Macaca fascicularis: one gene and its partners. The protein of the gene in region 2 purifies or fractionates together with the protein of the main gene of each other region. This does not show direct contact. Links are inferred from orthologs where the notes say so. Each region holds a gene or a part of one and is shown on either strand. Other genes may lie near its edges. The genes, in order: NLRC4, CASP8 and FASLG.

Region 1 (3,652 bases), on a different chromosome or scaffold from region 2:
GTTTCTTTGTTGATTCTCTGTCTGGGAGATCTGTCCAATGCTGTAAATGGGGTGTTGAGTCTCCAGCTATTGTTGTATTGGGTTGTATGTCTCTCTTTAGCTCTAACAATATTTGCTTTATATATGTAGATTCTTCAGTGTTGGGGGCATATATATGTGTGTGTGTGTGTGTGTGTGTGTGTGTGTGTGTGTGTGTGTGTGTAGTCTGTGTGTATATACATGTATATGTGTGTATATATATGTGTGGGTATAATATGTGTGTGTGTGTATATATAATGATTATATCTTCTTACTGAATTGCCTTTTTTTTTTTTTTAAGAGACAGGGTCTTTGTCACCCAGGCTGGAGTGCAGTGGCACGAGCATAGCTCACAACAACCTTAACCTCCTGGGCTTAAGGGATTGTCTCCCTCCTCAGTCTGCTAAATTGCTAGGACTACAGGCATGTGCCAACACTCCCAGCTAATTTTTTTTGTTTGTTTTGAGACAGAGTCGCGCTCTGTCGACCAGGCTGGAGTGCAGTGGCGCCATCTCGGCTCACTGCAAGCTCTGCCTCCCAGGTTCAGGCCATTCTCCTGCCTCAGCCTCCGGAGTAGCTGGGCGCCTGCCACCACGGCCGGCTAATTTTGTGTATATTTAGTAGAGACGGGGTTTCACCGTGTTAGCCAGGATGTTCCTAATCTCCTGACCTCGTGATCCGCCCGCCGCGGGCTCCCAAAGTGCTGGGATTACAGGCTTGAGCCCCTGCGCCCGGCCTAATTTTTTAAAAAAGTATTTTGTACAGACGGGGTCTGCCTGTGTTGCTCAGGCTGCTCTTGAGCCCCTGGCTGCAAGCAGTCCTCCCACCCCAGCCTCCCAAAGCACAGGGATTACAGGTGTAAGCTACTATGCCCGGTTCACAAATTCTTTTTTTAAAAAAACTGAGGGCCCGGTGAGGCTCTTGCCTGTAATCCCAGCACTTTGGGAGGCCGAGGCTGGTGGATCACTTGAGGTCAGGAGTTTGAGACCAGCCTGGCCATCATGGCAAAAGCCCATCTCTACTAAAAATACAACAATCAGCCGGGTGGTGGAGCGTGCCTGTAATCCCAGCTACTAGGCTGAGGCAGGAGAATCACTTGAACCGGGGAGGCAGAGCTTGCAGTGAGCCAAGATCAAGCCACTGCACTCCCGCCTGGGAGACAGAGCGAGACTCTGTCTCAACAAATAACAAATTACAAATTATTGCCTAGCTCAGTTTATTTCATTAAGCACACCATCTCCTTCTCTGGTCTCAATGGCCAGCCTTGGGAGTGGACAAAGTAGGCAGCTACCTAAAGATTTAAAGGATGCTAAAAAACCTCAACCTAAAAACGCCTCCCCAACATGAATTCTAAATCTATATATTCTCCAAGGGCCTCTTGGAAAAGACACATCCTTTCCAACTCACTTAAGGTATGAGGTTACCTAAGAGGGATTATTTATCAGCTAGCTAATTAGCCTGTCACAGAAGCCACCTGACTCTAGTATAACCTAAAATAGAGGAAGGGCCTGAAGGAATGACACCAGAATGATGTGAGTTAATGGGTTGAGGGAGTGGATGGACGTGAAGTTAGGAATTAAAGGAAGGAAAGATCCAGAACTTGAAGCACCATTAGGAAGGCAAACCCTCGGGCAGCCTAAGGACTTAGGTATGAATCTCCAGGAAAGAAGGTTCTAAAAAGAGCAGCAGATGGGAGTTAATGTTTAATGGGTACAGAATTTTAGTTGGGGAAGATGAAAAAGCTCTGGAGATGGATGTTGTGACGGTGGCACAATAATATGAATGTACTTAATGCCACAAAGCTTTTACACTTAAAAACAGTTTAAATGTGGCCGGGCACGGTGGCTCACACCTGTAATCCCAGCACTTTGGGAAGCCGAGGCGGGTGGATCACGAGGTCAGGAAATGGAGACCATCCTGGCTAACACGGTGAAACCCCGTCTCTACTAAAAATACAAAAAAAAAAAAAAAAAATTAGCCAGGCATGGTGGCAGGCGTTTGTGGTCCCAGCTACTCAGGAGGCTGAGGCAGGAGAATGGCGTGAACCCAGGAGGCGGAGCTTGCAGTGAGCCAAGATCGCACCACTGCACTCCAGCCTGGGCGACAGAGCGAGACTCCGCCTAAAAAAACCAAAAAACAAAAAAAAGTTTAATAAATTGTATGTTACATAAACTAAACACATTCTAGACAATCTGTAAGAGAAATGAAGGTGATAGAGGCTGTCTTCATAAGTCCTTGGCTTTAGTATGATAGCCTCCAAGTTGACCCTGATGAGCCTGACCTCTTTGTATTCATGTTTCCATATGCTGGATTGGAATAACTTGTGCAACCAGTGGGATATGTCAGAAGTGACCAGAAATGAGTGGGCTGCCGTGTTGTGCAGACACTCACAGCCTGTGAAGAGGTCTAGTGATGAGGACGTGAGGCCTCCAGCCAACAGCCAGTGTTAACTTGCCAACCATGTGAGAAGTTACCTTGGAAGGACATCCTCCAGCAGCCCCTCTCATGAGAGAGGTCAAGCCAGAGCTAACCTGCTGAACTCCCAAGTTCCTGAACCACAGAAACTGTGAGATAATGGTTATTGTTTTAAGCCATTATGTTTTGAGGCCATATGTTATGCACAGATTGAAAACTAATGCAGAGAGTATGAGGGCTTCTTTCATCAACTGCCTGAGGTTGGTGGTGCCTTCAGTCATTTATATAGATCTATTTGTTTCTGGAGAATATTACAGTTATTTAAAGATATTTGGTGACTCTATTTAGATACAGCTACATTCACCTTTATATATAGTGTTGAATACCCAATAAGTAACTTGAAAATATTTCCTGATATTGGAGGGAGGGGCGTTGCTGAATTTCAGAAAGTTAAGGCTAGTAAGAACTATGACTAATATAATACATCTTACTGGATACTGTGAATGCTTTCCATTTAATTCTGTAGGTAAAGGGCTTACAACCTGAAGGAAGGCCGGTGTTTTAAGTCTTCTTACTCTAACATGAATGAATTCCTTAGACATACTTATATTTAAAAAAAAAGAGGAAGCAAAATAAAATAAGGGGGCAAAATAAGCAAAGCCAACTCAAGAACTTTTTAAGGGCCAAATCCATTTATCTTGGCTCGGTATGTGTGTACTTACCTAAAATTCTAATCTCTGTATCTGTGAGTCTCCAGTTTTTCAACCCAAGCTTGACGAGTTGTGGGACCTCCTCCAAATGTTTCAACAGGCTGGTCAGGCTGCCTTGCACATCACAGCCCCAGGGCAGCATCAGTGCAGTGAGCTGTTCTAGCACGTTCAGCCTGTCAACTGGAAGAAACAAAGAGCAGTTCAGGGACTGGATGATCTCAAAACTGAGGAAGAACGAAGGGATGTTGGGGAAGGAATGATCGTTATGTTTGGTGGCTCTGTAGCCTACTCAATCTGCAATGAGAATCTACTTAATTTTTGGTTATTTTTATGGAAAGTGTTCAAGCTTATACAAACATTATGCAGAAGAATATAATGAAACTATATATACTAATAAGTCACTTTTCAAAAACATTAAATCATGGGCAATCTTGCTTAATCCTGACCTAATTCCCCCGGTATTATTCTAAAGCAAATCATGGACAGTATGAATCAGTTCTTTCCTTTTT
Region 2 (3,652 bases):
TTCTTACCCCCTCCACCTTCCAACTATTCCAGTATCTTCATTTGGGTCTTAAAATAAAATTTGAATGCATAGAAAACTGAAGGAGTCACGTTTTAAAAATTAAGTCATATTTTTAACTGTTTTTATGTGAATTTTTTCTACAGTTCTCAAAATTTTCAGTAAGTTTTTGCCTCTTATCGGTTTATCTGGCAGCTTAAAAAAAAAAAAAAAGCTAACAAATTAAGTAACTAGAATCTGTAATGTAAAAAGAAAAAGGATTTGGAGGTTTCCATCTACCTGTGATTCACTATCCTGTTCTCTTGGAGAGTCCGAGATTGTCATTAGCCCACACAACTCCTCCCCTGCAAATAACAAAGAGACAGGTGTAGAATGAGACATGGCAGGAAAGGTACACTGGTAATGAAATATGTAGCACATAGAACAACATAAGGTCTTTTTTCAGATGAAAATTCAAGCTGGGCACAGTGGCTCACGCCTGTAATCCCAGCACTTTGGGAGGCCAAGATGGGAAGATAACTTGAGATCAGGAGTTTGAGACCAGCCTGGCCAACATGGTGAAACCCTGTCTCTACTAAAAATACAAAAAAAAATTAGCCGGGCATGGTGGTAGGCACCTGTAGTCCCAGCTGCTCAGGAGGCTGAGGCAGGAGAATCACTTGAACTCGGGAGGTGGAGGTTGCAGTGAGCTGAGATCACACCACCACTGCACTCCAGCCTGGGCGACAGAGTGAGACTCTGTCTCAAATAAATAAATGAAATGAAATGAAAATTCACAGACGGCCATAAATATAATCTCCTTTCAACCCGGAGAGATTCTGCAAGCAGGGCAATTAACATGCTTCTGGAAATATAAGATCAAATTGTCTCCTCGCCAAAGAGAAAAACATACCAAGAAATGCCATAATTTATATTGCTCCACATGGCCAGGTTGAATTTTTGTGGTATTTGTGAGATACTCATTAATAAAGCCACTAGCTTAGGATGAATTAATGATTTAGTACTTTACTCCTTAAAGTATTCTTAAGGAGTAAAGCTTGGGCTCAGCAGGCAGGGAGGAAAGGGAAGGACAGCCTGCGTGGACATTAATCTTTAAAATACATTTGAATGATCCAAAATGTATTTTATACACACACACCACAAAGAGCCAAGGTAAAAATACAATAAAAATATAACCAATATTAATGGAGCGATGGCGTTCTTGGACTTATAAAAATTTATCTGAATTTAAAATCATCTTCAATGAGTATATATAATTTTTCTAATCAGAAAGAATACTTTATTAATTGCCTATAGTCCCAGCACTTTGGGAGGCCCAGGTAGCCGGATGGCTTGAGTTCAGGAGTTTAAGACCAGCCTGGGCAACACAGCGAAACCCCATCTCTACAAGAATACAAAAATTAGCCAGGCATGGTGGCTTGTGTGTGGTCCCAGCTACTCAGGGGGTTGAGGCAAGAGGATCGTTTGAGTCCTGGAGGTAGAGGCTGTGGTGAGCCAAGATTGCGCCACTGCATTCCAGCCTGGGGGACAAAGTGAGACACTGTCTCAAAACAACAACAACAACAAAAGAATATTTGATTAATCAAAATTTCGGAGGAGATCATTGAGAGTTCTCTCTCTTGATTCAGCCTCGCTTACCCAGGTAGAAAAAGTGAAAGGAAGTTGAAAGGAGTTGTTTAGTGTAGAAGGTGTTGACAGAGGAAGTGACTTAACCAAGGAAATTATGAAACATAATTTAAATCCAGCTACTCAGTGCATAACATGAGCAGCACATCAAGGAATAACATGAGCAGCACATCAAGGAGAAAAAAAAAGTCACATAGAAAAAATGATGTTAAATTACTTATGACTGACTCACTCTGCACCTGTTTCAAACTTGCCAGCCTGGGCTGCAGGTCTTAGGAGAGCAGGTGCGGCCGAGCGCGGTGGCTCACGCCTGTAATCCCAGCACTTTGGGAGGCCAAGGCGGGCAGATCACCTGAGGTCAGGAGTTTGAGACCAGCCAGGCCAACATGGTGAAACCCCATCTCTAATAAAAACACAAAATTAGCTGGGCGTAGTGGTGCGCGCCTGTAATTCCAGCTTCTCAGGAGGCTGAGGCAGGAGAATTGCTTGAACCCAGGAGGTGGAGGTTGCAGTGAGCCAAGATGGTGCCACTGCTCTCCAGCCTGGGCAACAAAGTAAGACTCTGTCTCAAAAAAAAAAAAAAAAGTAGAGCAGGCACATTAGGACGTGCATGTGGTAGAAGGCTGTGGGGAGGACACACGCAGGTACCAGAGAGTAAATTAACTAAATCTTGAAAATGTATCTCCAAGCATTACCATTTGAACCTTCCTCAGGACTTCCTTCAAGGCTCCTTGTTCTCTCTGAATTAAAAGAGGAAACCCCCAACAATATTTGATTAGAAACAACTGTGACATGGACAGATTTGTCAGTTTCAATTTTAGAGTAGGTTTTGCCAATTCCCGGCTGTCAGGTCGTTTCTACCTCTGCTGAATTCTTCATAGTCATTGATTATCTTCAGCAGGCTCTTGTTGACTTGGGCACAGACTCTCTTCAGGATGTCCAACTTGCCTTCTCCCAGGATGACCCTCTTCTCCATCTCTACGAAAATATCCAGCAGGTTCTAAGAGGAAGAGAAATAAAGTTGGGAATCTGGATTGAGCCCTACTGGTTTTTAGATTAGATTTTTTTTTTTTTTTAACTTCCACTTTCTCCAACCAAGGACCTGCCCTTGCTTCCCAAGTTTCTGACAGCTTCTGCTGGTCTCTCACAGCCAGCAGGCTACTAGGGAAGCGATTCCATGTTTTCTGGCCCAGAAAGACAGAAATGAGAGGATAAAGGAGAAGCCATGTCAGATGTCACCCAGTCCCCAGGCCCTGTGCTCAAATCTCCTGTGAATGCATTACTTGAGGACTGTAAAACAGCCTGAGCAGCCCAGTCACCATGGTGATGCCCTGGGGATGGCCTCACCCCCAGCATTGCCTCTCCAGACCTGAGTACATACAGACACACAGACACATACATACACACATGCACATACACACACACACACAGATACACACAACACACACAGACTATACTTAGTGATACACACATAGAGGCATAAATACAATACACACTACACAACACACACACAGACACATACCACAAGAGAACACACACACAGACACAGAGATACACAGACACACATACCACTTATACAGAGACACACAGAGATACACATATCACACACAAATACAGACACACACTATACACAGAGAAAGGCACGCACAGACACAGAGATGCACATACAACACACAGACATGCAAAACACACACAGAGACACACAACACACAGAGACACAAAACACAGACACACCACACACAAACACAATATACACACAGAGTTCCAGGTCCCAGGTCGTTTCGGGGACTGCGGAAGTGGAGGAAATGCCTCAGACTCACCGCTGTCTTTCCCAGCTCTGCCGGGTCTCAGGCTGGGCTGCATCTGCACAACCAGCCTCCTTCTCCCGGCCCCTGACTCCGCCTTGCTCCCGGTAATTAACATGAGCAGCACTTCAGTATAGAGGAATCACATCTGTAACACTCGTGCTGACAACTTTCTTCTTCTGGTCAAAAAGTGAGAATCCAGGTTGCTTTTACCAAAATACCCC
Region 3 (3,673 bases), on a different chromosome or scaffold from region 2:
ATCTCTACAAAAATAAATAAATAAATAAATTAGTCAGGTGTAGTGACTCATGCCTATAATCCCAGCTACTTAGGAGGCCAAGGCAAGAGGATTGCTTGAGCCCAGGAGTTTGAGGCTGCAGTTAACTATGATAGCACCACTCCACTCCAGCTTGGGTGACAGAGTGAGACTCTGTCTCTATTTAAATAAATACGTAAATAAATAAGCTGGGCAAACAATGAAAATGAAAACATTGTGAAATACAAAGCAGTTCTGTGGGTTCCACTGTTTGCAGCCTCTGATCTAATTTCTAAAGAGGGTGTAGCAGGTTTTTTAACCTGTAAATTATGGTGATTGGCAGGTCAGGGTAAATGGTAGTTGTGTGTGGGGAAGCGATGATGGCAACAGGTGTTTTCCTCCTGCAAAAACTAAAATGTGGGAGTGACTTCTCTGGCCATGGCTCCATGGTCTCTCCCCTCAGAGCCAATTTCAGTAAAATTTTTATAGTTTAAAAAATATGGTTCTGAACAATTTTTGTTAGAGGTATTTTGGTATTTTTAAATAGTTTTTTGGTCGTATACATGGTAGAATTCTTAACATTATACAATTATAATGTATAAAAAAGGATACAATTATAATTCATAAAATTATAGCCCCACTGGCCATTCTCCTGTAGCTGGGAGCAGTTCACGCCAACAGGGCTCTACCCCAATGCTGACCTGCTCTACAGGATCCCAGGAAGGTGAGCATAGCCTACCAACCTGTTTGGGTAGTACAGCGATAGCAACTGAGGCTTCCAAGGCTTTCGTCAGAAGATTGTGGGCGGAAACTTCCAGGGGTTTGCTCTGAGCTTCTTGAGGCTTCTCAGCTTCAGCTGCAAAGTGAGTGGGTGTTTCTTTGAGAAGCAGAATCAGAGAGAGACATAGAGAAAGAGAAAGACAGAGGTGTTTCCCTTAGCTATGGAAACTCTATAAGAGAGATCCAGCTTGCCTCCTCTTGAGCAGTCAGCAACAGGAGTCCTGTCCTTGACACCTCAGCCTCTACAGGATTGAGAAGTAAAACCGTTTGCTGGGGCTGGCCTGACTCACCGGCTGCCATGCAGCAGCCCTTCAATTACCCATATCCCCAGATCTACTGGGTGGACAGCAGTGCCAGCTCTCCCTGGGCCCCTCCAGGCACAGTTCTTCCCTGTCCAACCTCTGTGCCCAGAAGGCCTGGTCAAAGGAGGCCACCACCACCGCCGCCACCGCCGCCACTACCACCTCCACCGCCATCACCACTGCCTCCACTACCGCTGCCACCCTTGAAGAAGAGGGGAAACCACAGCACAGGCCTTTGTCTCCTTGTGATGTTTTTCATGGTTCTGGTTGCCTTGGTAGGATTGGGACTGGGGATGTTTCAGCTCTTCCACTTACAGAAAGAGCTGGCAGAACTCCGAGAGGTAAGCCTGCTGGCAGACTGCTGTGCCCTGGAGGCACCAGGCATAAGGGGGTGGAGGGCCCACTGCCTGGCTTGCAAAGTGCTTTTCAATCCTTTTTTTTTTTTCTTAGAAATGGGTTGTTCTAGTTATTCTATTCTATAGGCAGAGAAATGGAGGCTCATAGGAGTGAAGGGAATATTTTTTATTTTGTAAAGAATCAGAGCCCAACAGTTTTTCTTTCCTCAGTTGTCAACTCAGTCTGTTGAACCACTTACTGCCTCATACCTAGTGATTTAAGGAGTAAAAAACAAACAAAACTTTTAAGTTTTGCTTGGAAGTAAATTTGTTCAGATGACCAAACTAAATCTTGAAAATACTTAAAATACTGGTACGATTTCAAATCACAAAACTGAGGGACAGTGAAGCAAAATTGCTTGACCAAAGCCTGAGTCAGCAAAAGTTCTGAGGTATTTGGATTCTCTTTCCAGGGCTTGGTTTATTTGACGATTCTGTCTCTTTTGCTTAAATAATTTTATTTTTATTATGCATCTTTTTTCTTTCTCTTTTACTAGTCTACCAGCCAGAAGCATACAGCATCATCTTTGGAGAAGCAAATAGGTGAGTCCTTTTTCACATGTACATTGAGTTCCTAAAGGTGATCCTCAGCACTGAAATATGTTAATGGAATGCCTTATATTCTGTCCTACACTTTGGCTTATGTATACTATGAGAGGAATCCTGGCTAATTCGGAATCTCTGGTCAGTATGATTCCTTGAGCTGCTTTAAAAATGTGAAGTGAATTGAATTGCTCACAATCAATATAGCTGAGCACGGCACACAATTCAAAATCACTTCCGCTTGACTTTGGAAAGAGACACACATATACAACCGTGGACTTTTGCCCCCTGAGCAGTGGTTCCAGGCCTGTCCCCTTCCACAGACACCCTGGTCCTGGCACACATGCCAGTGGCTATGACTTCTGGGAAGAGAAGGCGAAGTGAAGGCAGAGACAGATGTTTCTGAGAAACGTCCTCTCCTCTTTTAAAGCCTCTAAAGAGATCACAGTGAAACTTTATTTATAAAATGTTTTATAGGATGTAAGCTTTTAAAATGTGGCTAATCAATTCCGTACATTAGAATGGTTTTTCTTGAAGTCACTGAGAAGCTGAAGGGAAGACTTCAGCCATCATTCAAAGGATGTTCAGCTTCAGAGGCAGTCATGAGGTACCCTTGATCACAAAGGAAAATCCTTTGTATGGGAGCTAGGGCAAGAAGACGATATGTTGGAACACTGATCTCGTGAAATTTCAGGGCATAGTTTTGCAAGCTCTGTACAGATGGATTTTACAATGTGCTTCACTAGCCTAAGATTCATTGAAATTTTAGATTTAGATTTACAATGAGATTCACTGAAGGTTTAGAGTTGGAAGGAAGCTTAGAATATCTAGTCCAGCCATTTCATTTTTTTGGAAGAGAAACAAAATGCCAGACAGATTAGGTGAATATGCCCAAGACCCCTAGTATGGAACTGGGGCTAGAAGGAACACAGGCTCTTGATGCCTTGTCACCTACAGGGCTTTCCGGTACTGGACTGGTGCCTCATGAAGTAGGGAAACTCCTGTCTCTCTGTAGTGAGCATGGAGTGAGAAATAGAGGAAAAGCAGGATACCTCTGCAAAGACTATAGATAGATCGCATCCTTAGAAACTCAGAATAAAGAAGAAGGCAGCACTGGCCATCTATTAAGTGAAGTAAGTTTCAGTTTCTCTGGATGTGGCTACTGCAGGCAACCCAGTCGCCTGTCTACTGTCCTAGACTGTTAAGTTCTTATAGGAGCCACTGTTGGGAAGCTCTGGCCCCTGAGTCTGTGTCCTAATCCTTAAATGTTAGAAAGTCCATATGTACACAAGCAGAGTGGAAATATTTGCTAGAAAAATAAAGCCTCTGGAGGATGTCTCAAATAAGATCATTTTGAAAACCTGTGGAATGTGCCTGGTCTGATAGGTACCTAAGCATTCATCTTTTACCTCCTCTCTGGAGTCAATTTAGTGATTAAAAATCAAATGACCAGACGAGTCATGTCCATCTACCCCAGTAAGCAATTATCTTCTCTAGATCAACCCAGATGAACCAGAAATTGTTAAATTATCACAAGGAAATCAAATCAGTAACTTTACTAATAAGAAAAGAGATGCAAACTAAAAATAGGGAACACCAATTTTCATCAAATTAGTAAAGTTAACAAAAACCCAGACTGACAAAGATTTGAAAGAA

What was found.
Region 1: the proteins of CASP8 (region 2) and NLRC4 purify together in Homo sapiens (affinity purification with western blotting; 3 studies listed by BioGRID and IntAct, with this or other methods). This does not show direct contact. The link is inferred for Macaca fascicularis from reciprocal best matches to the Homo sapiens genes CASP8 and NLRC4.
Region 3: the proteins of CASP8 (region 2) and FASLG purify together in Homo sapiens (co-immunoprecipitation; 8 studies listed by BioGRID and IntAct, with this or other methods). This does not show direct contact. The link is inferred for Macaca fascicularis from reciprocal best matches to the Homo sapiens genes CASP8 and FASLG.

The regions. Positions count from the first base shown.
Region 1 is NC_088387.1:89,939,847-89,943,498, reverse strand, and holds part of NLRC4 (NLR family CARD domain-containing protein 4), read right to left. Parts: intron 3,324-3,652; coding exon 3,156-3,323; intron 1-3,155.
Region 2 is NC_088386.1:97,051,588-97,055,239, reverse strand, and holds part of CASP8 (caspase-8), read right to left. Parts: intron 2,624-3,652; coding exon 2,485-2,623; intron 2,364-2,484; coding exon 2,319-2,363; intron 342-2,318; coding exon 277-341; intron 1-276. UniProt on the Homo sapiens protein: Thiol protease that plays a key role in programmed cell death by acting as a molecular switch for apoptosis, necroptosis and pyroptosis, and is required to prevent tissue damage during embryonic development and adulthood.
Region 3 is NC_088375.1:30,264,658-30,268,330, forward strand, and holds the start of FASLG (tumor necrosis factor ligand superfamily member 6), read left to right. Parts: upstream 1-855; 5' UTR 856-1,075; coding exon 1,076-1,420; intron 1,421-1,971; coding exon 1,972-2,017; intron 2,018-3,673. UniProt on the Homo sapiens protein: Cytokine that binds to TNFRSF6/FAS, a receptor that transduces the apoptotic signal into cells. Involved in cytotoxic T-cell-mediated apoptosis, natural killer cell-mediated apoptosis and in T-cell development.